4 linked regions of the Drosophila melanogaster genome follow. The protein of the gene in region 4 interacts with the protein of the main gene of each other region in a pairwise test. Each region holds a gene or a part of one and is shown on either strand. Other genes may lie near its edges.

Region 1 (5,827 bases), on a different chromosome or scaffold from region 4:
AGATCCAGAAACCACTAAACATCCTGCTGGTGGACAGTCGTGTGAGTCGCAGCACCGCCGACATTGTGGCCAAGGTTCGTCATCTGGGAGATGCCTTTCCGCAGCTCATCGAGGCCATTTGGCAGGCTTGCGAGGAGCTTGTTGCCGCCGCCGTTCCACTCTACGAAAGCTTTGGCAACGCCCAAGACGATAGCTCGAAATTCGAGCAACTTGAACGCCTGTTCCAGATCAACAATGATCTGTTGAAGGCTATCGGAGTGTCGCACCCGAAACTGGAGCAAATCTTCACCATCGCTTTTAAGCGTGGCTTCTTTTCAAAGCTGACGGGCGCCGGCGCAGGTGGCTATGTCATCGTTCTGCTTCCAGAGAACTACGAGTGCAACGAGGTCTACTGGAAGCTTAAAGAGGAGCTCGAATCGGCGGGTTTTGGTGTTCATGTTACGACTGCCGGCGGCGAGGGATTGCGCGTTAGTTCGCTGGATGACTGATGCGGTTTCGTTTTGTATTGCTATTGTATGTATTCGTGGTTTTGTTATAAATTAAAGAATAAAGATTTATACATGTATTTTGTACGGCAATCTGTTTGTTTATCGTTGACTTCTGTCCCGAGATTTGTAGACAATTCCACGATTCTTCATGTCACGTAAGGTAGACTGCGGCAGTGTTCCGGATACAGAAATGGCATAGATACCACGAGTAAAGCGGGCTAAAGGAAAATGATTTCAAATATATCAGTAATACCCTTTTGGAACGGAAGTCATTCAGGCCTTACACAATCTTTGCCACTTGGCCACCCAGGAGTCGGTGGGCGTAGTTAGGGCAATAATTCCGTCAAAGTTGTTGCTAGTGTGATCATAGACATTGTCCTTGTTGTTTTTCATTCGCAGGAACTCCTCGCAGTTTTCACAGCCATCAGTCTCAAATTGATCAAAACTCTGCGGGCGATAAATGATTTCAATGAAAATGTGTGTCGAGTCTGGGCAAAATATAACCCACCTTCACTAGGGAGCAAACGAGGCAGGCGCGAAGTCCTCGCAGATCCTTGGGTATCGCGTCAAAGGCCATATTTACTTATCAATTATGGGTTTAAAACTAAAAATACAAAATCCGTGCAAAACCAAGCCACGACACTGACAGAGTGACCGTACTCTAAAATTTTCTTGAATCTACGATATCGATGGGCGCCGGTTACACCCGACAAAAATTGTCAAAAGAATTTTCACGAAGCTAACCTTTGTATTAAAACGTGTTTTAAAAGTGTATATTTCCTTAGCAGCTATATGAATTTTAAACAAAGTTCAACGGCTTGGGCAGTGGCTTATTCTTTTTTTGCTTGTAATAATCCTCTAGAATTTCAAAATAGATCAAAACCAGTCCCAAGTGAATTCCTGGATTGGCTCCTGAAAAGTTAAATGCAATTTTGTAATCCTGAATTGGAAGTATGGGCAGAGAGACCTCGTCCAAACGAAAGTTACGCGCAATCAAATGACCCTTTAGAAACATATATATATATTCAATATATTGAGAAAATTTAACTATATTATATATACATAAGCTTACCCTATATGGGCAACTGTGGTTTACATTAGTCCACTCCGTCAAATGGCTAATAGCGTATTTTTGCAGAAAATTACTTTGCGTTTTATTCTTTAACAATTGGCAAACATCAAATTTAAATTTAACGGCGAAGGGCTTGTACAAATTCGAAGAATCCTTGTAGAACACTTCTACTGACATCTGAAAATTTCCATTATTATTGTAATACTTAAATTAATGAAACTTCTCACCTTAATATCAGTTAATGCCTCCTTTATGTCACCATCCATGTTCAATACCGATCGAGTCCAGTTTACAGGCTTCAGAATGCAAGAGACATTGCTGAAATATGCTCCGTTTGCTATGCACTCAGTTTTTCTGATTTTGAAAAAGTATCCATTGGAATAGAACTAAAAACTAAAATATTTTTGAAATCTGTATTTATACGGGCTTATTTACGCACAATGGTATTTGGAAGGCATAATAAAACGCCCAAGTACACACAAGAGACAGCAAGCCACTTTGCCATCATTGAAACAAATAAACATAACTTCAACCGAACAACTTAAAGCATACGCTAACTACATTTTAATAACTTTGTACACTTGATAAAAAGGTATCACGGTTGAATGAACAAACAGCTTTCAAATAAATAATCGATACGCCACGATACACTTATCTACACTTTAGCCAAAAAATCGGCTTAACGTAAATTAATTTTTGTTAAAAATGCACTATCGCTCGGAAGTAAAAAAGCGTAAAATGAAAAGGTCGATTGCTTGTTTTGATTTTACAGCCTAATTCTATTGGTTATTTACACAATGCTAATTGTTGTTAAATGCTAACCGTTTGCCAATGTAATGTAAGACAATCGGTTAATCGACCCCCTGATGAGATAACGGCTACGCCCCTGGCGATCAGCTGTTACGCGGTTGTTTTGGGTGTGGAACAGGGAAGCACAAAAGTACGGACAAGAAAGAACGGTAATAACAGCTACAGCCGAGCTCCGTTAATCTTTTACCGCTAGGATCGTTGGAATAGAACTCGCCATGTCCTCCTCCTCGACATCCAGTCCCACGGACAACAGCTCGCACGGATCGGTGGCGCTGTCCTCGGCCCTTAATCCATCTTTAAACCCGGTCTCCGGCACGAATACCAGCAGCCAAAAGCCTTTTTCGCTTTCCGAGCGCCTGAACTTTGAGATCTACCGTTACTCCAGCTACTCGCCAAACTATCTGCCTGAGTAAGTACTAATCTGGAAAAGAAAATGGATGCCTCGCATATCGTAATTGTTAAACGGGCATCTTTTTAATTTCCATTCGTAGAAACGTCCTGGTGGACTGTCCCAACGACCAAACATCTAGGTGGTCCGCCTACACGAACAGCCCGCCGCAATTTCTCACCTTGAAGCTGCGCCGTCCCGCCATTGTGAAGAAAATCAAGTTTGGCAAGTTCGAGAAATCGCATGTGTGCAACATCAAGAAATTCCGTGTTTACGGCGGCTTGGACGATGAGCACATGGTTTTGCTGCTGGAGGGGTAGGTCATTCAGCTGGTTTTCTGAAATGCATTATTTAATATAACTCAAATATTTTTCCCAGTGGCCTAAAAAACGATAACGTGCCAGAAGTATTCAACCTGCGCTGCCTGACCGAAGACGGTTCGGAAAATCTACCAATACTGTACCTCAAGATCGTGCCCCTGCTCTCCTGGGGTCCGTCGTTCAACTTCAGCATTTGGTACGTGGAGCTGCACGGCCAGGACGACCCCATGTACACCAGTGCTCGCATGAAGAACTACAACTCGCTGCGCGAGGTGGAGATCATCAAGCTGTGTCTGAAGCACTTCCGCCAGCAGGGCTATTTGAGTGCCTTTGGGGCGCTCCAGGAGCAAACGAATGTGCAACTGGAGCACCCGCTGATCAGCGAACTGCATAAGTGTCTGGTAAGAAAGGAATCCCCAGCATAGATCATGCTATAAACCTTTGAAGTTTGGTATTAAATTCATAAAAAAAACTGGTTCTTAGGTTTTGCAGGGCGACTTTGAGAAGGCTGAACGCTTTATAGTCGAGTGCATAGACGAGGGCCTAATGGATGAGTATTTACATAAGCAGGACTACAAGCACAGCTGGCATATGAAGCATACCGAAAGCGACATAAAGCCTGGTAACTATTTTTGCCTCCAAATAGCAATCATTAGCAGTTAACTTCCTCTATTTCAGGCAATCGCGGTGGTCACCAGCTGGTGGTGGATGCCAAAAGGAGACTTATTTATCTCTACGGCGGCTGGGATGGCTACCAGGACTTGAGCGACCTTTGGGTATTCAATATCGAAGATGATCAGTGGACGCTACTGTGCGAAAGGTCAGAGCTTTCCAATGGACCCACACCGCGATCCTGTCACAAAATGGTCTTTGATCCCATCAGCGAAAATGTATTCATGCTTGGTCGTTACCTGGATAACTCGATACGAACTTCGGATTATATAAAGAGCGACTTTTACCTTTACGATACGAGGGCTGGCAACTGGATGCAAATATGCGATGACACCAGCCAAGTGGGTGGTCCTCAGCTTGTCTATGATCACCAGATGTGCATGGATACCGATAAGCGTACAATTTACGTTTTCGGAGGCAAAATACTCACGCCTCGCAGTGTCAATGCCACGGGAGCGATAGAACCAGAATATTCGGGGCTGTTCTCCTATCACATAGCAACGAACACCTGGGCTCAGATTCTGGTGGACTGCCACCATGCCAGCGCTTCCCTGGCAGATGTGATGTCCATCAAGTCCAGGATCACACACTGCATGGTTTTCCATAACGTAGGTTAATTATACTCTATAAGCTATGTATACAGATATATGTATTTGTACGCGCTATTATAGAAACATCGAAAACTTTACATATACGGCGGACAACGAGGGAAGGAGGATCTGGATGAGTTTCTTAGCTACGATGTAGACACCCAGGCCATATCGGTTCTCAACAAGGAGCACCCGCATCACGGAACCATCGCTGGCAACGAAGCCAAATTCGAACCTTCCTCCGGTTATACTTTACGTGCCACCATTGACTGTGAACGTGATGAAATTTATATTTTTTCTGTAGGTAGTTCTGACATTATTTCGGCGTTCGTATTTAACTTCTTCGTTTTTAGAGCCTAAGTAAGGTGAAGGATCGTCGTGATATACAGCATATTGATGCATCAAACTCCTTTTGGGTTTATTCCTTGCGCAATCACAAGTGGTCGAGGATATATTACTGTCGCCACAGTGGCCAGGATGCCAACTCAATTAACAACATGAATATTTTGGGCGCTAGCAAGGGTGATGGAACCTTAGAGCCGTGCCCTCGCTATGCCCACCAGCTGGTCTATGATGATGTGACCAATACCCATTATTTGTTTGGCGGAAATCCTGGAATCTGCCAGCAGCAGCAGCTGAGACTTGATGATTTTTGGCTTTTATGTCTGGAAAAGTATGTAATTTACTAGCTGAATGTAATCGATGATAATTTTATTATATTTTAGACCCAAACGAGAGGAGATCCTGAAGCATTGTCGGTTTTTGGTGCGTAAACTGCGCTATGAGGAGATGACGCGCCAAGATCCCTTAAAGGCAATGCAATACTTACGGCATCATATAGCCGATGTCATTGATCACAGCGATGCGGAGCAGTTGAATAATGTATGTCTAAAAAAAGAACTTCAATTTTTGTAGCTTTCTTATATCTGAGTTGATTATTTTAGTTCCACAAGCTTGCGTCTTTACTCTTCAAAAACCATGATGGTAACCTTGACAGAGAATGCAACACACCTGCGTTGTGTGCTGATGCAGACGATCTCGAAACGGATTCCGATGTATCGGCAAAGATCAAAGGTTTTATTAGTCAATAATGAATTCGTATTGGATAATTCAACTTGTATCTTTACAGAGGAACTGGCTGATGGACCCGCTACCGAGAACCTCTCCCTGGAGTCGAACGAAAGCATGATCTCTTCTGGCATCTCGGAGACTGCATCTAGTCCGAGCTCCTCCTCCTGCACCAAAAGGGCGCGGACGGATTGCACACCCGAGCTGAAGAATAAGCGAGCTTTCCTGTTCAATAAACTGGTGCAATTGATGCCACCGAGCATGGTCCAACCTGAACGCAACCTTAGCGACTTTGTGGTCATGTAAATGTTAACGTGCCAAAACCGATTCAATACGAGCCCCCATCCAAGATTATATTTAGCTTATTAAGTGTGTGAGAGTTTTGTTTTAAACTGTTGATCATGATGTGATGTTTAATT
Region 2 (10,963 bases), on a different chromosome or scaffold from region 4:
GTCTTTACTATCCTTAATGCAAAAATGATTGTCTTCAGTTTTGTCTTAACAGTTTTGCGTATTTTTCCTAGGTTCTGTACCTACTATATGCGGTTTTATCTTACCTACTATATTCTCTAGGTTTTTATTATTTATTTATTTTTATTTTTATTTATTCCATACAGGCTCTAGGGTATTCTCAATATATTCACTATTCTCTATGGATTTCGCTAGGGGCTCCTTGGCGTTATCACTATTTTCTCTAAGTGCATCTAATATTTAAACTTGACTACTCAATGCGTCAACATGCGGCATGTTAACAGCAGCTCTGCAAATCATAGTTTTCCAATTCCAATGACCGTATAGCTATCTTAGGGTTTATGGCTTTCCTACTAAATGTCTGCACTAAGGAATTAGAATCTGTCACTATTTGAAAATGCCTATGATCTAAATAGACTCCAAATGGACTTAATGCATTAAAAATAATAAGTTTCATACTCGAAACTATGCTACCTAGTCACCTTTTGCGTTTTTTTCAGTTGATAAATTGGTTCATCTTCACATATCTCGCTAATTTCTTCAGCGATGGTCTCATCTAGTGACTCTTCTGATGAAAATCCTGGAGAAGATGCCTCCAAGCAAAATTGTGATGAAGTGTCAAAACTTCTAACCATTTACGAGGTTTCAGTTGGTCTTTTAAAAAAATAAGAATATTTAAAATGAGGCCAAGAAGTATAATGGCTGTAAAACTCTAGGGTCTCCAGATTAAAAATAATAATTATTATTTACACAGAATACAACAAAACAATCGTACGCTCTGAGCAAGTTGAAGCGCAGCGACAGCAGCGGGGAAACTAGAAGGCCAACAAAAATCTCGGCAAGCATAATGCACAAAATCAAAATGATTTCGCGGACGTATGTCCGGCTGAAAAGAAGCAACGATTCGGTGGTCCAAATGCCCAGAATCAAAATGGTGGTGTAACGGGCGGTGGTGGTGGCGCCAATTAAAATAAGAATTTTGCAAACAACAAGGGTGGGTTCGCTGGAAACCGCTATCGCAAAAACAATCGCGCTGGAAACCAAAACCGGACTTTTCCAGGCAACAACAATTCAAATGTAAGTTATCTAAATTCGATATAGTTGATTAGATTATCCCGGGCACTTAATTGTATACAAATATTAGGTATTCTTTACATTTTTCGGGGGGGAAGTTAAATAGGGAGGCACGCCTGTAGAGCCGATTGAATCGATGTTATATCTGTTCAGTTTGTATTCTAATGGTGTAACTGGATTGAATGACGACACTGCAGATGTGGCTCACATATCAATTGCATATTGTACTCATTTAAATGTATAACACAAATATAGCAAAAGCCCAATAACGAAACATCAAAGGCGGCACTTCCTAAGAACAATGAACCGGCAACTGCAGCTTCTGGCCAAAATCAAGCGAATCAGAACGCCAACATGGGCCAAAATCAACGGCAAGGACAAAACCAAAATCAATCAATCAAGTCCATGGTCAAAGAAATCAAGGTGGACCAGAATATCAAGGAGGTGCAGGCAATTAAGGAGGCCAAGGAAATCAAGGAGGAGCCGGAAATTAGGGAAATGATCCAGGATTCAGAGGTCGCAATGCTGGTAACAATCAAGGTGGCGGTTTCTCCGGAGGTCCGCAGAACCAGCAGCGTGACAACCGAAACCGTAGTGGTCCACGCCTTGCGAAGGTGCAGGTGGCACGATGAACAGCACCAATATGGGTGGTGGTGGCGATGGAGACGGTGGTCCGCGCGGCTGTGAAGACTTCTTCATTTCCCAGCGGTTTTGCAGCATTTCTGGGCCCACCTTTAAACCACCTTTAAACTATCATCCTAATGCCGAGAAGGCTAAGCGCGCCCTGGACGGATCGATGCGAATGGTGTACGATTCGCACCGAATGTCATTTTGCAGGTGAGAAATCTCACACCGTTCGTTTCCAACGAGCTGCTGTACAAGTCCTTCGAAATCTTTGGTCCCATCGAGAGGGCCAGCATCACCGTCGACGATTCTGGCAAGCATATGGGCGAGGGCATAGTTGAGTTTGCTAAGAAGTCATCGGCCAGCGCCTGCCTGCGGATGTGCAATGAGAAGTGCTTCTTCCTGACTGCTTCCCTTCGACCGTGTCTGGTCGATCCGATGTCTGATCCGATCAAAATGCCAACACCATTTTAACAATTTGCATATTTGATGCCCGATAAATCGAAATGTAAAAATTGATCCTTTGCACAAATTAAAACGAATCCATTCCGCTTTGCGTGTTCCTCAAACAATTTCTTAATAACTAATGCTATTTTATACATTCACAAAGTATTTGATTCGCATTGAAGTGGTAATTTCTGTGCAAGGGCATTTCTTTTAACTGCTTATTGGATTGTAAGAATATCATTTTTACTTTTTAAATTAAATATTAATGAATTTATCCCTTTTCAGGCAAACAGTGAGAGTCTGAAGCCAATAACCAAACTTTGTAAAAAGTGCCTGTGCATTCCGGCCAGTTCAACAGAATATGAAAGAATATGTCTTATTATGAATATAAAAAACCATTATTTTGTTATTACTAAATATTTTGAATACTGCGTTAATTCAAATAATAGTTTGCATTGAAGCAAATAAAGCGTTTTTGTTTAAAAATGCATTTTAATTCCTGTGCATGTATTTCTGCATTTTTCTAAAGGGCTACTGTAATATATATTTTTTAATTTGCAAGGGTATATAAACATCGGTTCACGTTAAATTATAGTTCCTTTATTTTTGTTTTCTTTTTAACTATCCATACTATCGATGTTTTCTTAAAAAACCATCGATAGTGCCGACCATCGATGATTCTCCAGCTCTATTCTCGCGCGCACTTTAAAGTCAGCCAAATAATATACAATTAATTCTATCGATATTAGTGTCACCTAGTATTTTATATTTATACACAGCTTACACTTAGTGTTTTATATTTATACACGGCTTTTATCTTATCGCAGAAACATTTTTTTTTAATAATCAAGGCTTGTTATCTTCTAATGAACCCCTTTTAAGAAATTACATTCGCTTGCGTAATACCAACTTTTTTAACAAATGTAAGTCAAATGTTTCAATCATAAAGTAAAAGAACAAATAAAATTTAACAAATGAAACTTTTGGCTGACTGACTTAAACAGGGGGAAATTTAAAACTTTTAAAACCTATAACATATTAACGAAGAAAAATATAAGGATCTGCATTTATTGTTTATATTGACAATAATGATTTATTAACTTCGTGTATTTTTACAAATATTATTTTTTCCTCATATATCAGGGAGTTTGCAGTAGTGCAATGACCTTTTATTTTTAGAAGTACCGGGTCACTAGCCGAGTCGATATGGCCATATATGGTCCGTATAGATATCGAAATCTAAGGAACTAGTAAAGCTAGAAATTTGAGGTCTATAGATATACGTAGACGCTGCGCAACATTGTTAACTGATGGTGTTACGCTTACACATAAGGATAATGTTCTGACATATATTAAGTTTTTTTTATCAGTTTTGTTAATTTCTATCAATATGACAAAAAACTTTTGCCACGCGCACAATGCGCCCAAAACTACAGCGACCAAACTAGATATTTAGATTTTTCAATTATATTTCAGTCTCGTAAATGAATATCGTTTTGCTAATAAATGCTTAGAACGCCAACAATACCACAAAAAAATGTTTTATCTCTCTTGTCAATTTCTATCAGTATAAACACCTTTTGGCAACGCCACATTATACGGCCACTAACTGGTCAAAACACATCCACACATTTGAAAAAAATAAATTTGTTCTTATATTATTTGCTATTTTCCCAATTTCTTTTGATCTGAGTAACGGGTAACTGATAGTCATCGAACTCGACTAAAGCGATGCAAATAGTCGTTCCTGGTAGCTCGACGTTCATAGAGACGGACAGACGGATCCACTCGTCTATTAATTCTGATCAAGAATATATATGGTCGGAAACGTTTCCTTCTGTCTGTTACGTACTTTTACTCTAGGAGTAACGGGTATAACTATGAAGGACTAGTCTGGACGGGTCTTAAAGCATGACGCACGTCTTATAATTGTTTTAATTTGGTCTTTTTTTGTAGCGTTACTGCTAGTGTTGCTGTATTAACCTCATAAATATCCTCAGTATCAAAACGTCTTAATAAATTCATATGTAAATATGAGTCAAACATTGATCCGTCGTCTCTTCAATCAAGCTTGTAGCAGAAATATTTTTATTTTGAACCAAAGCTTGTTATCTTCACATGAACCCATTTTACCAGGTTACATTGGTTTACGTAATACCAGCTTCTTTAACAAATGTAAGTAAAATGTTTTAATTCAATAAAAGAGCAGAAATGTTTCTATCTGCCATTGGATAAAAATGGTTCTAGGTAGTAGTAATGGTGCAAATAAAATGAAACAAGGAATTCTTTTTCTGGCTGATTTACAGTGAAATACAGTGGGTCAGAAATTATTTCCACGAGGTGTAATTTGAATCTTTCAAAGCCTTTAAAAGAAAAATGTCAGAATCATTATGTATTTTTTATTTAAACAACAATGATTTATTATTTTCGTGTATTTTTACAAATATTATTTTTTCCTCATATTTAAAGGACTTTGCAGTAATAATGACCCTTCGTATTTAGAAGTATCGGGTCACTAGCCGAGTCGATATGGCCATGGACAAAAAACTTTTTCCACGCTTACAATCCGCCCAAAACTACTGCGACCATACTTTTGAAAAATATTTACAGTTTTTCTTTATATTTCAGTCTTGAAAATGTCTCTGTATTTTCTTATAAATATTTGAAAACCCCACAAAAAACGTATTATTTGACTTGCAAATTTTTTCTCGGTATAAAAAAAACCTTTTGGCCATGCTCCTTTAACGCCCACTTACCGGCCAAAACTTTAAATTTGTTTTCATTTTATTTGTCATTTTCTCAATTTTTTGAGATGTCTGAATATGTTGAAATTTCTAGTTTGCACTTTCACTAGCCAAAGACACTAGAATAACAAGATAAGTAACGCTCATACATTGGTTTGGCACTATGCAGCCACTTTTTTAGTGACGGTTTAATTTGCTCTCTGTCCGCTTGCTTACGCTGAGAGCGTAAGAAATCTAAAAATAGAATTTGCTTGCTTGTGCGCACTTTTTAAATATATCAAATTGGAATAGACAAAAAAAACTGAAACTGAACAACCGAATCTATTAAAAATGGATAATTTACATACATCATATTCATATTAAGTCAAATGACTTCATAAATATACTTAATAATTAAAGCAAATACAAAGGAAATTATTATAACTACTGTAACTAGTTAAATGTTAAATTTTCCAAAAAGAAGACATAAGAGAAATAAATATTTCATAAAAATAATACGTTGTAGAAAATAAAAATTTATAAAATAAACTGTTTATTGCAAGTCATATCTTGAGGCACGAAGTGCGGACACAAGCACTCAACAATCATTGTCGCATGCTGAACACTCTATTGACAAAAATTCGAATAAAAAGTAATTTTTGAAATTTATTTTGTGATATTATGATTCGGCTATTACTATTTCTAAGCTATATTTAAATAATAATAACGTTAAGGCAATGCAAAACAAGAATTTTTCGCGTGGTGGCAATTGATTAAAAATAATATAGATTTAAAGTCTAAGAACTTCTAAGGTGAAGGGCATATTTTGTCAAATTTAAAATGCATGATCATACACACTGTAAAATAAGTTGAATTTTTGACTTTAAAGCTAAAAATTAAGAGTTTTTTGCTTAATTAAACGCAATTTTTTTATAAAATATAATTAAACAATATTTATTTTATCTATAAATCACAAAAACAAATTAAAAATATTAAATATACAAGAAAATAAACAACAAATTCCAAGTTTACACACTTTTGAGACTGTCAAGAAACAGCACACTTTGAGAATTTATCAACACACGTTAGGAAGTATTTTTGTGTGTAGAAAATACATCAATGTGTTAACGTTCTCCTGCGTAGGTGGTGATTGGCATTTCTTGGATGTCATTCAAACTTAGCCCTCGAGCAGACCTTACAATTTGCAACAATTTGCTGTTAATTTCATGTTAGGAAAAAAATAGTCACGCATTATTTGCTTAACATTTTCCTGTGCCGCTCGGTGGGCGCGGTTGTGTTTTGCCTGTACTTTTTCACTTTGCTCCGATTTAACTGGGAGTTACCAAATACTTTGAGTATCGAAATTTTGTTGACGAGAAAAGTTCGATCAGTGTGTGTTGTTTAAAAGCAAGGATCGGTAGTTCGCAATGGATTCCTTCGACGATCCCTGAATTTACTTCGTCTTTTAGTGTTTGGAGAAGAGTGCTCCGATTAGAGATCCATTCTGAAATAGCACGAAGGTTCTAACAGATAGGAAATCAGATTCCTCAATAATTAACTGATTCCTGAAGCAGTTCACTGATTTGTCAGTAGTCTCTATAGTGTATGTCCATAGCAAAGAATCGCTGACCTACACTATAGAGACTACTGACAAATCAAATCAGTGTAGGTCCATAGAAAAGAATCCCTGACCTACACTGTAGAGACTACTGACAAATCAGCCAGTAGTCATCTTATCAGCGGGTGATGATCTGTATAGATGTTGAAGTTTCTCACACCATACAGGTAATTTCTTAAATTTTTTAAATTTGTTGCGAGATTTTGTTCGTTACTCCGTAGTTCCCGAGAAATAAGTGTAATGGGGCGACCTTCTTGGGATAGCACTGCTATATATCATACCCCGAGGCATTTGTTGTTAGGTCAAAGGGTTTTTTTATCTGGATATCTCAAAACGACATCTTCAGAGGTTCATCTTCGTTAGTTCAATAATCACTCTCCTTGAGTGATTAGCACTTATTTTGCAATTTTCGCCCTTTAAGACGTCCGTTAGGGGTCTGGCGAATCCCTTGATAATAATAATAATTAGGTAGCCCTAGATATGATCTAAGTGCAAAAAGGGTTCAAGGGATTTGAAAATTTTGTAAGGCTTGTACCTTATCTTGCGAAGTTTGAATTCCACCTCTGGACACAGTAAATCCCAGATAGTCCACATTATTTTCAAAGAACTTGGATTTTTCCTGAGACACTTTCATGTTAACTTCATCAAGGTTTTTAAAACCTGCTTCTTGTGGTCCTCTTTTTTTTTTGGAAAAAATTAGGAATTAAAAAAAAAAGAATTAGGAAAATAAGTTTCCTGATCTATGACCATTCTTTTCTTTTTATGACCGAATTCATCGACACCTTTTTTTATCAACAACCCAAATAGGGTTATTGTAGGGCGATCTTGATGGTCGATTGATGTCGTTTTCTAGAAGTTGATTAACTTCTGAATTAACAAAGTCACCTACACCCGTAGGGTATATGTATAACCCGTACTACCCTGGCTCATCATATGTTCGTATGGTAGCCAGTGTTTATATTGTAGGGTACCGACTCGTTTGGGTCCTCAAATGCATTTGATCTAGATTTGAGCATGATATCGAAGGATTCTTTTATAGACAAAGGTACGTCAGAGTCATCGACCTGTGTGAAATTTACATTGGGAAACGTTTTGAAGTTAAGCAACCGGGTGTCGCCTTTAAACCTAATGATACCGTTACTTAAATCAAGTTATCCGTCAACGTGCATAAGCAGGTTAAGTCCCACTATACCGTCAAAATCTTTAAGAGTTAGTTATATGAAGAAAAAGGTTGTTTTATTGAACAATTCGATCGGACATTTTTTTGCCCCCATTGATGGACGGAACCTGAAAAGATTTTTCAAAGGGAAAGAAATTTTTTAAGGTGGTAATCGTAAAAAATTACAGGAATCATTGCTCACATCATCTTCATATGCTTGAGCATTTTCCTCAGCTAGGGACCGGTAATCATTATCAACAGGGTCCTGCTCCTGAATAATTTACATTCTGCAGGCTCTGGGTTGAGTTAGCTTTCTTGCATAATAATGTAATGCATCCTTTTTTAAGTGCTCATTTAAAACAGCTGCCTCTGCAGGATAATTTCTTATGATTGTTTTTTTACTTCGTCATAGTATTCTAGTCTAAGAGTACCGAGTTCCTATAAAATAACGCGTACTGGCTAGTCTGGCTATAATCAAAAAAATTATATCTCGTTGTTATATGATTGTGATGTTTGTGTCTAACAATCATCCATTGCAGCAAAATTCGAAATAGAAATTACGTTCTCAATTGGCATAAAATTAACATCAATAATATTGGTAGCGCCAAAAGAAGTCGTTTGGATGCAATTATACTTTTGAATGTAAGGGAAGAAATGTGTTCAAACTGGACCATCACCAGACAAAAGATTGCAATGGCTCTGGTGGAGGATATTATGGTGGTAATATGGTCTGTTTTCTTTTTCTTGATCATCAATTGCAGCAGAACGGTCCTCTCCCCACATTATTGTTTTTTTCTTGAACGGATATCTTTTCGATGCTATTTACGCAGCTCATCAGTCTACTGTTCTACTTCGAATTGCACGATTTGAACGTCGGTGGAGCGGCAATATTTCACTAAGACAAAGACGTTGAAAAATCGCTGTAAAAAAAGCAGTTAGAAATAATTTTAACAATCAATCAAGCCACGGTGCCGGTTGAATGCACAAAAACAGATAATAAAAAACCCGAAAACTCGAAATCGATTTACGGCTAACCTCAATTAGCAATACTTTTAAAAAACACACACGTATTAAAACACAAATATATCACAAATCCGCGAAAACAACAATAACAAGTCTCTTTTTTTATGTTTTCTCTAAGACTCGTTCAATTTTTATCAAAAACAGCAAAGAAATATTGTTTCATAAGAAAATGTTCCGATGTCAAATATTAAACTAACGAATGTGTTGACGTTTGTAACAAATTTTTTCTATTTTGCGTTTTTTTTTTAAAGATTTTCTCGAATTTACACATAGCCAAATTTTTGTTCCCAGAAAATACGAAGCCAACAGAAAAAAATCCAAATCGGACTTTAGGAAGTCGTAGAAAGTCCAACTTTGATTTATTTATAATATATTAGAAATAATATTTTGAAAGCAAATAATTTAATTTTACTCAACTAATTAAAACCTTTTTGTTTACTTTTAGTACCTGCTGAAGACATTTGGCGCGGAGTAACTGCGGTTAGCAATGCTGGAAAAAAAAGAGGCCGTGGGAAAGGAAGTGGAAAAAAAGTTGCAAAGGATCTTAACAAAGGGCAATCTATCGGATTCGGAAAATGCGGTCGCATATGGCCTGGATTGAATTCACCTCTTATACGAGGAAACGAGTTAATTAATCAGCAGAAACTCAATGAGAATTTAGATAGAGAAAATGGTATTTTAAAATTACGCGATTCAATGGGAAGTTTTAAATTGATGAAACTAAATCCAATAGACCGAGGTTGGTCTGGAAGTAAAATGCCCGGCCGAAGCATTGGACCTCCTGATCCTGTTGGCGACGAAGAGTTTGTGTCATTTGATACTAGAGTTTTAGAAAACAAAATTGTTTTTATTATGAAAGGAAATATGGGAAGAAAACGAAGATATTCCGTTCTTTCAGTCACGGGAAATGGTAATGGTTTGGCAGGATTCGCTACCGCTAAAGCGCCAGAAGTTCGTACGGCCCTTCGAAAATCAAAGAACCGAGCAGGACAAAAACTAATCAATATAAGCCTTTGTGAAAATAGAACAATTTTTCATGACTTTCGTACAGATTTCGGAAAAACAAAAATTTTTTGTTTTCAGAAACCTGATGGATACGGCTTAGTCTGTCACCGGGCAATTCAGACAATTTGTAAAGTTATAGGTATCAAGGATTTATATGCCAAAATTGAGGGGTCTACGAATATCCAGAATATTGCAAAGGCATTTTTTATTGGTCTGATGACGCAAAGGTCCTATCAGTATATTGCTAACGAAACAAATTCAAACATTGTTCAACTGCAAAAGACAAGAAATAGATTCATTGATGTAAAAGGAATGCCTTTTCCTAATTCAACTCTAACGCAGAACACCCAAGAAATTGACTATATGCATTTCACATTAGGAAATCAAATAGTTTTACAGCGAAAAGGCACAGTACCATTTTATGTTTATAGCAAAGGACATGACTTGCATCAATTTAAAAAGGAGCGATTTCGGAACCAAGTTAATGTTCGGCTACACAAGCTAGTTAATGCTTATGATTAATTTATGAAATATTAAAACTGTTAAATAAAAATGTAATATTATTAAAGTTTATTTTACATGGAAAAATAAAGGTATAGAGGTATAGACCAACAAAAATGCCTCGGTAATCCAAAGTACAACTTTAATTAATTATACTCATAGTACCTAAAATTTTTTTTACGAATTTATTATGTAAGAATTTTTTAAGTTTTTATCTTACATTTATTACTGAGTATTAAAAACAATTAGTTGTTGCTTTGCCCAAAAAGCTGTCTCATTATTTAACAAAATTGTAAGATTGTTTTATGTTTATTGATTTCATAAAGTTAATTACCCACTCTGGGAACTATAATTTTTGTACCAAAATTAGTTTTCATTTGTTAAATTTTATAATGACACTGTATGTTAGTAAAGATTTTTAAGCCAAATAACAGATCTGCCCAAATTGTTTGAAATTCATTTTATTGTTTACTATGCAATTAAAAAGTAGTGGGACAAATGCAACGCAACACAGCCCTCTCGAGCTTCTTATTGTTGCCCCTCTCCACTTTCCTACCCGATACCGGCGCTAGAATTATTCTAGTGTCTTTGTTTTGGTCATATCTTGAGGCACGAAGTGCGGCCACAAGCACTCAACAATCATTGCCTTATTAATTTTTCACACGCCGCAAGCTGGATACTCTAATGACAAATATTCTATTATATAAAGTCATTTTTGAAATTTATTTTGTGATGGTATGTACATAGATTTGGCTATTTCTAATCTATTTT
Region 3 (7,455 bases), on a different chromosome or scaffold from region 4:
ATCTGATACGAATGCGTCGTCTGAAGTTGCGCCGCCAGAAGCTCATTGTGCCGCTATCGACGAAGATCGAACGGCGGGAGGCGCGGCGCGAGGAGAAGGCCTTGGTGGCCGCCAAGATCGACAATCACATCGAGAAGGCGCTGATGGATCGTCTGAAGAATGGCACCTATCGCGACATCTACAACTTTTCGCAGACCGCTTTCAACAAGGCTCTGGAGGCGGAACGCGTGGACGAGGATGATGAGGAGGAGCTAGACGACGAAGACGAGAATGAGGAGCAGCTGGAGCGCGAAATGGAGGTGGACGGCGACGATTCACGCGAAGCTGAGGAAGTACAGAGATCCCTGCTCGACGAGGAGTTCGTCGAGGCAGATACGGACGATGAGGAGGAGGATGATGATGATGATGATGATGATGACGAGGACGACTACGACAGCGATTCCGGCAAGCGGGAAGAGGTCGAGGTGGGCAGCGATTTCGAGGAGTCCGACGAGGATGACGATGCGGATGCAGATGATATTGAGGTAGTGTTTCTGGTCATGTATCAGGCTTTTCTTTTTTATTTTGTTGGCAGTTTTCTGGAGCATTTAACGATTTCCAAATCCTTTTTCAATGAATTTCTTTTAATATTGAAAATTCTGAGTATGTAAATAGTTGGCAATTGCTTAAATCCTGCCACCTTCTTCCGAAATTACCATAATTAGAAATAGCAAACGAGTTCTGCCCGCTTGGAGCTTGGAGAATAAAGCTTTCCGAGCGCCGTTCGCCGCTTTTCATTCAGTTGCGTCGGTTTCCATTCAGTGCGCGCTAACTAACAGCTCCAGAAAATTGCCAAAAAAAAGAAAACTAAAACGAAACAAAACTAAATTCCAATTGCCAAACCGAACTTAAAACGAACAATTGCATTCTAACAGGAGACCAAAGTGCCAGCCAAGAAAACCGCCAGCAAAGCGAAGAAGGACAAGAAATCGCCGGCGGGCAACAGTCGACGCAGCCGCTCGAAGCCCAAACTGCAGCTGGAGTACGAGTATGAGGTGGAGAAGGAGGCACAGCGGCAGATGCGCCATTAGCCAGGTCCACAATATATATTTCTCCCCCCCCCCCATGCTCAATCCACTTAGCTGTTAACGCTTATTGTTTAGCCGGTTAAGAATAGTATTTTACATAAAAAAGAAAGAAAAAAAAACAAAACTAGACAAGTGCAACACTATATGACCGAAAAATGCATCTCATGCAGGATGCACTTCATCTGCATCCCATTCGCTTTGCTTTCTGGCCAAAAAGCGAGGCTGGCTAACTGACATTGAAAGTGGGCGGTGCGGGGCGGTGTGGCGACAATGCAGTGTTTAAAACCAGTTTTGAAAAATATTCTAAAAAAAAAAACTATGCACCATATTCGACGCAGCTGTAGCGCTATTGCATACCCTGTAAAAAGCGCGGAGTTGCGTGGCAAGCAAACTACTTTAAATAGGAGAAATTCTTTTTTTTTTTTTTTTGAAAATATATATACATATTTTTGTAATAAACTGTACAGTTTGCTGTAGCAAATGCTTTTTTCACAAACAAATATATTTGTCTGAATAATGAGAAATCTAGTGATCATTAATATTCAGCAAATATAATGGGTAAACTATAAACACTATGTTTATTGCTAGTTAACGCTAGTAAGCAGCATCCACAAGTCGACACTAAATGTGCATATATACATATATATATATATATATATATATATTTAACAAAATGCTGTCGCGGAGCTAATTAAATATCGCACGCCAAGTTCAATGCAGTGCGGCCAAGCGATTCAGCGGCGGTCCAAGTTCGTTATCCGATTGAATATCTGGCGGGGGTACAACCCACAAACCCCTACCCCTCCCCCCTCACCACACACACAACAACCAGCATCTCAAGGTCATTTCGCATCTGCGACCAAAGGTTCTGTTTTGCTTAAAACAAGCCGTTAAAACGCCACAAAGCCCATCGGTGTGCAAAATCAGCGGGCTAAAAGTTGTTGTTTAACTAAGTTCAAATGATAAAGGGGGGGGGGGGGAATCAGTAGTTTACAAATATGTTTATATATGCTCAGTGTGTCCTGATGTGTTAGTTTATTATTCGATAGATTGCAAAGACTTAAGCTAGCACACACGGCAAAACATACAAAAAAAAAATGCACACTTGCAAATTTGCCATTCGGTTTTACAAACAAACAAACATACAGTTCGCTATCGATAAGAACAACCGTCACCTGTGGCTGCCGCACAAAAAAACATTGAAACACACAAAAACACACACAGTTGTCAGTTGGGTGTATATACAGTATATATATATATATACGCCTATATATATATTTATATATATATATATATATTAGTACGTTTAAAGTAAGTTTTCCATTTCTAAGTTATACAGTTTATCGTTCTCTTTGTGTTCCTTTTCCTTTTTTGCATTGCGTTATGTTGCAAAAAAAAGTTGCTGTCATTTGGCGATCTAGTCGGTAGCAGCAAGTCTCCAATGGAATCGATGCCCCACCACTCCATCATCATCTTCTTCTTCTTCCTCATCTTGTTGGTGTTATTGGTGTTATGGTGTTGTGGCCGTTGCGGATGCTGTTCCAAGCGCTGTTGCATGTATCCTCGTATTGTTGTTGTTGTTGTAGTTGCTATTGCACGCATTGTTGCATACATCAACGTGTTGTTGTCGTTAGTGTTGCACGCATTGATGCATGCATCATCGTGTTATTTGGTTTTATATGTATGTATCTTGTCGCATCGCCGTCCCTTTAGGTATTGGAACTAAATGCCGCCTGACGGAGCAGCACATAGATCTTCTCCTTGATCCAATCCTTATTGTAGGGCGCATAGGTATTGGTGCTCTTCTGGTAAACCATGCAGCTAATGTCCACCATTGTGTCGATGAAATCGAATAGCTGGCTAATGTCATACGTAATGGTCGGAGTGTTTGGATTGCGGCGCTTCAGGTGCTCCTCGTAGATCTTGCACACGCCCTCCATGCACTCGTTGACGCTCTCGTAGTCACAGTAAGTGCGGGTCTCCGGACGAGCACCCGGCTGTACCAATAGGATGGTGTGCGACATGGTGATCTGCAAGGCAAAAATGGAACATTAATGTTATTGGCGGTGATCTATGTACTCAAGCGATATGTATGTATGTATGTTACTAGTGTGCGTTTCATTACATTACGTTTCATCTTCATCACTTACATCCTTTTTTTTAACAAGCGTTTTTTCTATAGCAAAGTCCGAAAGATTCCGAGACTCTCGAAGTTGAAGTTTACTTCGCCAGCTCTGCAAAAATTGTGCATAAATATTTATTAGAAGCATAGAGAGCTGTCAGCAAAAAAAAAAAAGACAAAAAAAAAAGGAAAAGAACAAAAACGAAAGAGATGGAAGAGATATGCTGTTGCCGCATGCAACGCATCGCCCCATCTCGCTCGCGCTCTCGCCGCAACACCAATACACGCGCACCACACATGCTGGCCAGCAGAACGCTCTTTGATTTTCCAATTTGCAACTGGGAAATAGACTAAGATGGCACTTCCAGCATGGAAAACGAGTAATTTGTGTGTGAAGCGAATGTTGGCAATGGAGAAATGCGTACATTTGTACAAGATAATGCACGCTTATGCCGCTTCACTAAAACACAAACATTCGGAAGCGCGAACAGACACGCACACACATGTACAAGGAGTAACGGCCGCCGCGTGTGTGTAACTAACTGTATGCAATCACTTGTTTTTCTTCCTTTTCACCGATTTTTCTCGAATTTTAAATAATTCCCATGTCTCCCGTTTAGTGTTCAACTTACCCGTTCGAACGCCGGACTATATGGACTATGATAATATGCTGATTCAGTAAAGAGATTCGGTAAAATCAGCGCTTGATTCGTTTTTTTTTATTTTGCCAGTTCTATGGGTTTTGAAGAGGAGGCTGAAGCTAGAGATGAGCGCTTCGCTGCGTGCCTCGCCGTGACAAAATAATCGAAAGATATCGATTAATACTAACATCTTTTATTTGATATACATTGTTTAATAATATTTACCAAATTAAATGACAATTGTGATTTTTTATACTTAATTGTATCAATGTATACTTGCATTTCAATTTGTATATGTATTTGATTCCATATTATGTTCATTCACTTTTTTATTGAAAAGCACACTTTATGTATATTACGCCTTTAGGTATAAAGCATGTTTTTCAATGCATATTTTCATTTCATTTGGCGTAATTCATTCCATATTTAGTCTTCAGATTTTTTAAATAAAATTAACTAAAGCTTTTAACATATACTCATCATAGTAATACATTACAATAACTACGGAAATTATTTATTTATTATTTTTATTTTATATATTTATAAAAAAATTATAATTATAATGTCAAATTAAAGTGGATTGCATTATTTATTTAGGTTCATTTTATTTTGTTATTACATATAAATATTAGGTATTACGTTTATTTAAGTTAGAATAAAATTAACGCCCATCAACAAATTATGGTCATTAAAGTCTTTATGAAGTAAACTTAATGTACAATCATTTTCACTTAAAGTGCATATTAAAAAGCATATTTTTACATTTTTTAGTATTGTATTTAATATAAAGTCAAAAGTTACTTTTAATGAAACAAAACTATCGCCCATCGCCAGCTCCGCAGTCTGGCCACTGTTCTCACTGTTCCCAGTGCTGCCAGACAGCGGCAATCGAAGATCCGAGTGCCCACCAGCTGTTTGATCTCAATTGGACCAATTGGAAGAGCGCGGTGTCGCGGGCAGCGCAGTCGAGCGGCGGCAGAGCGATCGGCAAAGAAATCAACAACAAAAAGCAAAATCTCGTCTCAACATTATTTACGTGCTTTTTGTTTTAGTGAAAAGTGAAGGCGCAGCCGCAGCAGCCCGTGTTTCGCGCGTTCCCATTAATTTGTTGTTATTTTCAATTGTGCAAGTGGCGTTCGTGTCTCTCTTTTTTTTTTTTTGTTTTTTCCTGTGTGTTTGTGTGCGTCCTAATTGAAAGAAAATGAAGTGAAAAGAAGCAAACAAATTGGGAAATAGCAACGTAAACAAATCAAATAATGAATGAAGTAGAAGAGCAGCGAAGTTAAATGAAACCCAGGCAGTAAATTGAAAAGCAAAAAAGCCCTGCGAAAATAAGATGATAAAGGCTGTGAAACGGGGAAACCCGTTAAAGTAGCACCGAAAAGGCAATAGTCAAATAAGAAAACACAAAATCCAACCAACGCGACGCACGCGTGTCCAATTTGTCGCCTCTGCTTCGTCTCTCTGCTTCCTCTTCACTGTTCTGCGCACACCGTTGCACGATCATTCATGTGTGGGTGTTGTATCTGTGTTTCTTGTGCATTCTATTTGATTTGTGTTGTTGCTCATCTCTTATCGCTGAAATCTCGAAATCTCAATGTTCTCGGCGACCAATGGCAAAATCAAGGTAAAAAAAAAAACGTCCACTTAATAGTTTTCTTAACTTACCAAATGGTGTCTTGGCTACAGAGAAACTTATGCTTTGAGTTGAAACTGAAATATGTACAATATTACTGTTTCCGTTAGTTTTATTTTAAAATTGATAAGCCATTCTATATTTCTCCTGACTGCGCATTGTTTAAATATTATACTAATTATCGTATCGTATCAATATCTTATCTGATGTTTGCACGAGATTTGTTGCGGTGTATTTGATTTAATATAAAACTATATCAGTAAATGTTTGATATACGTTAAAATACAACAAATATTGTACATTTTTTACAGTTACCTCCGGAAGATGCTGTGCTGGTGACGTCACCGTTGCGCTGCCTCTTCAACGGCCCCTTTCGCGATCTCCACTTCAACGTCACCGATCACCGCATTATTCCCGTCCACGATGTCGTTTTCCTCGACGATTTCGAACGCAACGTGAAGCCTTTGATTTACCGCCCCGTGACGTCAGAGGTCGCTGCCTCTGCCAACGTCGATGAGGAGGCAACGCCGGCAGAGGAGGAGCAGCGCAGCTTCATTCCAATCAGCAGGTGAGTCACATCCAACAAGTGCGACAGAGATGGCAATCAATCGATCGTGGCCTTGAACTTGATTCCATTTCGTTAGTCCCCAATTCCAATTGGAAGTGAGAGAGAGAGTGGAAGCAGAAAAGGCAGGAGAGCAAACCAATTAGAATTTCCAAATGGAGATATCAAGTTTTTGTAAATGGAGAAATCGACTTTATTTCAATTTTGTGCATTCAAACTGTGATTTTTATTTTAATTTTAATCATTTAGTTACAATTAATCACAATTAGGTTACAATTATCGCATCTAAGCATCTGTAATAATTTGTCTTGTTTAACGCTCGTTTTTGAAAAGTGTTTGCTTTACGGCGCCGATAAGTAAAGAACATTCTCAACTGATAAGAACGTGGGCGCCCCTGATGTGTTTGAAACATCATCGTTTTTATCGTCAAAAGTGTGCAAAAGCTGTGTATCTATTATAAACGACTTTGTAGGCGTATTGTTATTTGTTTTAAGGTGCGTCGCTAATTTCCCACTACCCGGATGAGAAATATAAATTTTTTAACAACCAGATAGTTTCATATTTATAATGACAGTTAAACAGCACTCATGTTTTAAACAATCATTCTTAAATCTGTATATCTGTACAATTCCATTGGTTTAATTGCTTTTAATATGGAATGTCATACCTCGTTGAGCTCGTAATTAAATTTCCAATTAAACTGTGTTCAAAAATTGGAATTTTAATTTTTTCAATTTTTTTCCAAATTTTGATGATGTTACCCCTTACAAAAAATGCGAAAATTTCTTAAAAAATTAATTTTTTCAAATACGTCAAAAAGTGATAGGGCTGTTTGGCATTGGTAATTAGCTGCCCAAAACAGTTATTCTTTCAGCTTTATGATCATTTTTAGCCAAGTTATGATTAAAATGCCAATCAAAAATATTTCAATTTTTGACAAAACCCGTTTTTACTATTTTTTGTCATAAAATATCTATTTTTTTGGCCACAACTTGAAAAATATTTGTCTGATTATGGAATGCCATACATCGCTGAGTTTGTATTTAAATTTTTAATCGAACTGTATTCAAAAGTTGGAAATGTAAATTTTTTCAATTTTTTTCATTTTTTATGATGTTACCCCTTACAAAAAATGCGAAATTTTGGTCAAAAATTAATTTTACAAAGTCCGTAAAAAACGGATATGGATAGTTAGTATTGTCAATTAGGAGTAAAAAACGGTAGTTCTTTTGGCTCTCTGCCAATTTTAAGCCAAGTTATACAGAAAAAACCAATCGTAAATATGAATTTTGGCCAAAAATTGTTTTCCCTATTTTTTGTGTAAAAAATAATCAGTATTTTGAGCACTCGAAATAATGAAATGAAACTTAAACTTGTTTTTTAAATGCCAAACGATTTGGTTTTAAATTTGGTAATTTTGTTTA
Region 4 (7,966 bases):
ATTTCCGCTGCAGCCGCACGTGCGGTTCAGTTGGCGTTTCCCAAACTGGGGATGACCTTTTACTCCCATCCAAGCCAGATAGATGTGAAATAGCAGTGATCAGCACTTAAGACCTAAAATGAAAAATATAGCAGATATTTTCAAGATTATAGAAGTCCAAACTTCTAACAATTTACTTGATAGTTTTCAGTTCTCATATCCCAATTTATTGGCCGTGAATCACGAGTCCATCTTCATCAGTTCGAAAACAGTATGCCCAGCAGTCATGTTGAAGTTGGGTAAATGTTATAAGTGCTCTATTTTTGCTGCCGGCATCATTTTTGCCATCCCCAGCGCCCATTCAAAGGCATTTTTAATTGGAGATGTATACGGCAGCTTAACGCAACGGATAGCAGTTGCAGTCCGCAGAGCTGGGCAGGGCAGTTGTACCCATACAGCGGAGGAGTAGCTGCCCCACAGAATCCCCGTATTCGGGTTCCAGGCCAAAAATAACCAGAGCGTAGCGGGCCGTATTGAGTCGATAATTGGTAACGCGTCACGTGTAATGCTCTCAAAAGCCAAAAATGGAATTTCTAATTAAGTTTTACAGGGATTTAATATCGACTATCTGCAGATCCCATTACGTCCATCTCCTCATCCTCCACCACTGGCCAGCATCTGGTGTGTACGAACCTTTGGTCAATTAACACATCAACGAGTTAAGAGCAGAAGCCCAGTCCCCAGTCCAGTTGGAGCACAAACTGGCCATCGGTGGGGGCAATTCCACTTACTTGCCAGAACATTTTCCTGCTGCTGCTGCTGCTGTTGCGCTGCAATTGCTGCTGTTGATGCGCTTCGGGGATTAGAAAGTAGTCAAAAGAACTCGGAGATGGATGGACGGGATGGCCACCGGCAGTGTTCTCGCCAGATTGGAGCAGAGTGAGTTATTAAAATCTGCTTAGAAACGTAGTTTATGGAACTTTGCTTGGAAGAGTCCTTCGGCCATTTAGAGTGTGCCCGGAATTAGATTTCAGTTTTGGATCCTCATTTAGTCAGCTGCTTATTTAATGCATGTATTTATGATTTCATTTACTATTTATTTATTTATTTATTGATATCAAAGTACTACTATATAATTCTTGCCAAACCGATATGAACTTTTTTCAGTGCACTCCGTCAATATGATGAATATAGAATCTGAATATGGGCAGGCATCGGCTGTCGAAGTTGGGCCAAGACAAGCTATAGCTGTGGCAGGCAACCCGTCACTCACCCACCCACCCATTCACTTATTCGCTCATTCACCCATTCATTCATTCACTCATTCACCCATTCCCGGGCCATCATTTGCCAAAGCCTCGCAGCAGTAACAATTGATATGCGTGTACGTGAGCTGAATGGCGAGCCTCCTCGCCGGAGGGGCAATTGAATCGATGTGCGCGGAGTGCGGCAGTGGCTCCATTGGGGAGTGGGACGGATTAGGGCAAACTTGTGAGCCAAGTCAGTGGAAACTTTGGCAGTTGGCGGGCGGGGGATTGGACCGAGATGGTAGCCTTAAAGTGTATCAGGCGGAATGGAAAACTTCTGCTCCTGGCCCACTACGACCGACGTTAGAACGCCGTGCGGGAGTTGGGCGGCTGGTTCACTGCTTCCTGCAGGAAACGCCAAATGTGTCGCCCATGTCTATTCTTATCAATTAGCCATTTGTCATTTCCGAGTGCGCAAACAAACGGCCGACAGCCGGAGCATTGCCAACTTCAATCCATAACTCAGTCGCAGTCCGGCAAAAGCCGTTGGGCATGCGCTGTCTGTCAGGCGGCTTGTTCGCCTACCCGGCAGTCAAACAAATCGGCGTATATATATATGGTTATGAACAGGAATTTACACAAAAATGCAATCAGCGCGGCTGATAAATTTACAAACTTCGTCCGAAGAATACAGAGTGGCACGCTGTCGCGTTATCATAAGCAAATACTTACATTGCATGAACGAGGACTCAAGGAACTTATCAGTTCGATTCATGGATACTATCACAGCGTAAACCAAATGGCGTATGTTTGCTTGTTATATTTGGCTATCAGTCCAGATGCATTGGAATGAATTCTTCATCAGGATCAACCGTCGTGTCAACAGCTATCGTTCTTGCACAATAGATAAAATACAGTAATGGGTATCTGATAGAATTTTTAATCTTCGAAAGCAGTCCATCGAGAATGTCAGTATCTATAAATACTTTATGGAGTGGGAAAGGTCTGGGACAATAAACAAATGTGGCAAAAGATACTATGCCAGTATCGCAGCATGGGGTTGATGTATTCACAGAGTCCTTGAAGGCTATGTAAATATTTACTCGTGATAACGCAACATTTGCTTGTTCTATCTATGTATGTATTTTGTATATCTATTAGCAGCGCTGAATGCATTTTTGTGTAAATTCCTGATCATAACCATTTGGCCGCCGCTCATCCGCTCGTCCGCTGATTTCTTTGACTGCCGGGCAGGCGAACAAGCCGTTTGACAGACAGCGCATGCCCAACGGCTTTGGCCGGAATGGGTATGAGTTATGGTTGGAAGTTGGCAATGCTTCTGCTGTCTGCTGTTTGTTTGTACACTCGGATGTGACAAATGGCCAATTGATAGGAACATGCAAAGAGTCTATCGAATAAAACTACGTACAAAGTTAAATTGACTACAAGACAGAATGTTTGATTTGCTGGAGTTGTCCTGTCAATAACATTTACATTAATCTTGCAGAATATTTGTATATATTTTTAAATTAATATCCAATTCATAGCTTTCTGGGTGTCTGTAATCATAAAATAGAAGACAAAAAACATGTTTTTTTTTTTTAACTAAGAAAACAGACAAAGAGACAGAAGAAGTACTGCTTTCATAAACAGTCACCATATATGATACAAATTGGTTACGGTTTCCAGATAACGCCTTTCCAAACGCTGTTCGCTTTTCGATAGGCGATCTGGCCCGGAGCGATATCAGTTGATTAGCGGCGATCCACTCGAGGAATTCGTTGTGGGCCCCTCGAAATTGTGTCACCGAGTCAAACATTCGAAAGTGGCGAAGAACAAAGGGTCGGATCAACTGGTGAGACCAATCAATCAACCCACAACCTCTGCGATACAATCTACAAGTGCGTAGCTATAAATCCCCATGCCCCACGAAAACCGTAGAGTTCGTAAATCATACATGTCCATATGATATGGTGCACCAATGTGACAAGATCGCATTTCTCTGCTGGAAATTATGACAAGTTGTATGTGCGATTTCGGCTTAATGCCGGCGTCAATCATTGGAAATTCATCAGAGGCCGCGATTGGCGGCGGTCCGCCATTTCCAATTTGGACTGCAAGGCGGATTCGCCGGAAAAAGCGAGCGAAAGGAAAAGTCGGGGAGGGTAAAAACAAATCAACAGTTCGAATTCGCTCTTGTTTTGTTCCACATTCGCCGCAGACGGAAATCTCTTATACGAGCCGGAAGAGAGCGGAAAAACTCTATCGGATTTGGAGTTTCTCGGCGATTTTCACAGAGCACAGGTGAAGTGCCTGGGCCTGGGCAGGTAAATTCAACTCCATTGTGGATAATTTTACTGAGAATTGAAAAACTTAGTTTTTAGCGCAGCATATACAATATAAACTATACTGTAGCTTAAATGATAAGTTTTAAGGAAACAAAAACATAGAAACAACTCCAAATTATGATTTAAATGTTAATTTGATAATATAAATCCTTGCAGGTCCTTTACAGCGCTCTCCACACATAAACTTTGTAAACAGTTCCACCGACGAGCGAACAGAGTCCACAAAAGAGAAGCGCTCGCTCTCTTAGCATCCACACTTACATGCAACGGAGTGGTGCGCTGCACGTTACATTCAATCGGATTCAATCGCTCGTCGACCTTCGTGCCGCGCGTTACAAGAGTCGCAGTCGCTGTCGCAGTCCGCCGTCTCAGTCTCAGTTTGTGCCCCCAGTCTCAATCCAGCTCTCGTGACAAGAAGAACAGAACGCCTTGGCCACTGGCAACGCGGTCGCGAATCAACGCAGTTACCCATCTCAGGCTTAATCGGCTGGCAGCCAATCGCCAAGAGATCCGACAGATACGGATACGCAATCCGCGCAGCGCGAGTGCAGAGATACGAATTGGTCAGGAATAAGATACGGTGCAAGTGGCACCCAAGATGCGGCAATTGTGCACCTGCGGCCGCCAGCAGCGTGCGGCAAAGTGTGTGAAATGTGCTACCTGAGAAAATGCCCACGGAGTGCTCAAACATATCGAAACAAACCAGCAGATAGAGTATCTTTTGCTGCCCCAGTGAACAACAGTGCTTGAAATTTTAGTAGAGAAATCGTTGTTTTTTGCTACAAACTAAAGTGCAAACGGAATACAATCAATATACACCTTAAGTCAACGCAAAGGCTAATTCAAAACTCTTGGAATATTTAGGTGAGTTGAGAGTGAAGAAAGGCCTAACTTGAAAACAATCAGTGCTCAATGCTCAAAGCAATCATGTCAATAAACAGGATTTCCCCATAGAGACTTTGCAATGCATAAATAAATATTGAGTTGCAAACAATCAATTAGTGCGACAAAAACAAGTTTATGTCAATTACTAACTAAATAATTCATTTATCCGAAAAGAAACCAGAAGAATATTGGCCCAATCAAATGTATCTCATCAAGGCGCATTCCAGAGATCAAAAGATATCATTTCCAACCCGTTCTCCCCATTTCTTACGGTGGCTGTCCCCTTGCCTCATTAATTAAACACAAATTAAGAAAGAGCCAAGCTGTCAACATCTGGGGCTAATCAAACTAACCTGCTGTATTTTATAAATAAGAAGCGAAGAAGAAAAGCGGCGGCAGGTCGTAAAACGCTAAGATACTGCCCTTATCTCCTAAAGAAAGATCTTTCTCCGAACACTTTGTGCCTCCGACGGCTGTTGCACACAGATTCTTATCTCGCAGATGCAGTTATGTATCTAGATATTCCGCAGTACAACCTCAACCTCGAGTCTTTGGCAACTTCACACTCCGCTAGACGCGCAACGAGGCCCCTGGATTTCATAATTTTCCCGCTGTTCTGCGGGGTAATTAAGTAGAAGTATGTTTGGCAATTAAAGTTCCAGAGACCTCGCTTTCGCTTTTTCCCCCCGCAATCATCAGCTTTTGTAAATAACTCGAGTTATTTTTCTTGCTCACTTGGGATGGTTTAGAAATTTAAGATTGAGATTGGGCATCCGATGGGTAGCGATTACCGCGAGCTGCGAAGATGCAGCCGCAATCGCGCATGCATAATTAATTTCGTGTAAAAATCATAATTACACCAATTAAAATTTGTGTAAACAAGTTGGCAGCAGGCGGGCGAGTCCCTCAATCTGCCCCAAGCGCCGTTTGGGGCGCAATCATTATGATAATACCGCTGAAAAAACTTTTCGTGGTCGATTGCGAGGGGAACTCTTTATTGCCATTGTAGAAAAAGTTGGTGGGCCCAGGCGGAATTGAGTTGGCTATATTATGGTAATGAGACGTTTGAGTATGCCTCCAATGAACAACAGATTTGCCGCAGATTTGCCCAATCTGCTTTAAACTGCGCCTAAAACCCATAATTCGATGTGCGTGAAAGAATTTAAAGCACCGAAGTTCATAGATGCATCCACATAGCTACCATTAACAGGTTGTATTCAATATTTTATTCAAATCTAACTAAAATACTAAGACAGCAAAGTGATAAAATTGATTAGCAATGAAATTATGAAATGCAATAATCGCTAGTTTTATTTCATTGCCACTGAATCCGAAAAATACGTTATTCATTCAAACGTTGCGTTGAATAAAATGTGAAATATGTTTGTGGAATTAAAAAAGGTGTATAAAACTATATTTATAAATATACAAAGTGTGCAGCTTGGAAATTCATGGGAATTATTATGAATTTATTTTGTACATAAACACACATCTCTTTCATTTACCTGCAACCATCTACCAACGAAATGAAAATGTGTATCTCAATTTTTGGGGGGAAAATATTTTCTTTTGTCAGCTGGGATTACGATGGAAATGGGGCAACAATATTTACCATGTTCTTCTGCAATTTTAATAAGGATCCATTTAAACAGCATTGATTAAACTTTGTTTTCATTAAAATCTAAACAAAGCCCATTCATGCAATGTCAAAAATAAATAATAAAATGTCTAATTAGACCATTAAATCCGATGGCAATATAACAGCCAGCTAGTCGCATTTGAACTATTTAAGTTTAATTTGAAATGCCAAGGTATATTTCTTCTTTAAATAAGTAAAATTCCACCGACGTGCGGCAATTTATATTAGTGTCTTCTTCAACGAATTCAACTTCCATTTAACCTCATTCTGTACACATCGCATCCCCCAGGTCATTTTTCAGGGGCTGGCAAACACAACAGTCAACAAAATTTATACCCAAGAAGTGTCATTCTCGTGTGCATTTCGGGCTTTTTTTTTGCCGCTGGTTCGACGAGATCGTGTCGCTGCCCACATGGCTGCCACCGAATTGCTGGCGGAGACTCCAACTCCTCCGCGTCCCCTAATTAATTAGCATCTAACTAAGAATAATGTTTCCTGCGGCCCTCGACTGTCATAACTTGGCCGCAAGTTTATTTGTTTGGCTCGCCAACCGAAGGCGGCGCACAAAAGACATAGCCACCATTCCGTGAGATACAGATACAAGTACACAGATACAGATACAGATACGGGGGAAAACTGGAGGCACAGATGCCAAGACGGCGCACAGGTGCCACATTTTCTTCGATTGCAGGGGTATAAATGCCGCCAGGAGCACTAATTCGTGGCTGCCACTCCGCATTTTTGTTTGTTAGTTTCGTTTGGCTGGGTTTTTATGGCCAGTGTTGGTTTTTTTTTTTAGTTTTTATACACTGGCGTTCTTGTGTTAACTTGTAAAATAATTACTGACGCCGTTGTCTAGTACTTGTGAGAAAAAAAACGTTGAGTGTTTCGGCAGCTCAAAGTGCCCATAAATATCCGCATCCGCAGCTGAGAATTTCCAATGAAATGATTTCAAATGAAATGACTTGGCGCCAGCTCCATTCCCTTAAAATCTGTTATGTGCTTGCCACATTTGTTGTTTCGTCTTGGAAGCTCAGAGACCTCAACTTGAGGTTTTCAGCAGTTTCGTTTCCTTTTGGGTTTTTGCTCTGCTGCGGCGCTTAATTAGTTCAGAAAAAGTTGAGTGCGTTAAAGTATCTCGAATATTTCAAGCTGTCAGGAGTTTGGCGATTGGACAGCAAGGAGGAAAGCTGATGGAAAGAAATTGAAATGGAATTTAATGGTAATTGCTGGGAATGGACGATAGATTGTGGCTGGATCAAAGTTGCCCTCTGTGGTTCTCAACCCAGTATCTTCGATCCAGATAGCGTTCTCACACTTTCCCTTTCAGCCAAACAGCCAAACTCACGAGCGAACCCTTTTCCTCAAGTCGGACCACACATCCATTAAGATTTCCTGCTTGGCTTCCTTTCGATAGTGGTGACCCTTATCTGGGCCCCTTCTGAACACATTCTCCTCCTACTCCTATATATATTTTATGCAAATGTCACCGGGTGTGCCCCCTAGATGTGCCTTCTACGGCGAGGATTTCGTCGAGCTAATTAAGTTTCGGTTACAGTTCACTGCGCAAAACGGCGATCGCTGCATATGAAATGTGTATTTGAAATACTGAATTGGCCCTCTGATGCGCGGCGGAAATGAATCGCCGCTCATCAACTTGACGACGAATTCCCGCATGTGTGATCACTGAATAGGGCAGTCTTATATGCATTATGAGAGGCCTGTGTCTCCCCGTCGATTTGTCGGAGTCACTGAAGCAAGTCGCTGCCGTTTGCTCATCTCGAAAATATACATCGTCGATTGCGGACATGGATCCATCCAAACATTATACGCATCACAAGACAATGTAGCGTCATTAGCCCTGCCTT

What was found.
Region 1: the proteins of smal (region 4) and spt4 interact in a two-hybrid assay, tested with the Drosophila melanogaster proteins (one large-scale study listed by BioGRID).
Region 2: the proteins of smal (region 4) and mRpS5 interact in a two-hybrid assay, tested with the Drosophila melanogaster proteins (one large-scale study listed by BioGRID).
Region 3: the proteins of smal (region 4) and e(r) interact in a two-hybrid assay, tested with the Drosophila melanogaster proteins (one large-scale study listed by BioGRID).

The regions. Positions count from the first base shown.
Region 1 is NT_033778.4:12,628,915-12,634,741, reverse strand, and holds spt4 (spt4), read right to left. Parts: upstream 1,154-5,827; 5' UTR 1,066-1,153; coding exon 997-1,065; intron 936-996; coding exon 773-935; intron 707-772; coding exon 588-706; 3' UTR 570-587; downstream 1-569. Other genes in the region: Mvk (mevalonate kinase), read left to right, coding at 1-488; CG33792 (uncharacterized protein), read right to left, coding at 1,288-1,737, 1,788-1,946, 2,000-2,068; muskelin, read left to right, coding at 2,586-2,779, 2,862-3,074, 3,137-3,479, 3,562-3,700, 3,757-4,358, 4,422-4,640, 4,694-5,013, 5,066-5,222 and 2 more. UniProt on the Drosophila melanogaster protein: Component of the DRB sensitivity-inducing factor complex (DSIF complex), which regulates transcription elongation by RNA polymerase II.
Region 2 is NT_037436.4:24,533,279-24,544,241, forward strand, and holds mRpS5 (mitochondrial ribosomal protein S5), read left to right. Parts: upstream 1-3,957; 5' UTR 3,958-4,035; intron 4,036-4,084; exon of another isoform or gene 4,085-4,119; 5' UTR 4,120-4,196; coding exon 4,197-4,338; intron 4,339-4,632; coding exon of another isoform or gene 4,633-4,634; exon of another isoform or gene 4,635-4,857; intron 4,858-9,131; coding exon 9,132-10,213; 3' UTR 10,214-10,256; downstream 10,257-10,963.
Region 3 is NC_004354.4:8,902,288-8,909,742, forward strand, and holds e(r) (enhancer of rudimentary), read right to left. Parts: upstream 3,962-7,455; 5' UTR 3,822-3,961; intron 3,704-3,821; exon of another isoform or gene 3,482-3,703; intron 3,302-3,481; exon of another isoform or gene 3,218-3,301; intron 3,098-3,217; 5' UTR 3,092-3,097; coding exon 2,777-3,091; 3' UTR 1,857-2,776; downstream 1-1,856. Other genes in the region: Rbm13 (RNA-binding motif protein 13), read left to right, coding at 1-524, 915-1,070.
Region 4 is NT_033779.5:6,175,262-6,183,227, forward strand, and holds the start of smal (smoke alarm), read left to right. Parts: upstream 1-3,871; 5' UTR 3,872-4,438; intron 4,439-7,966.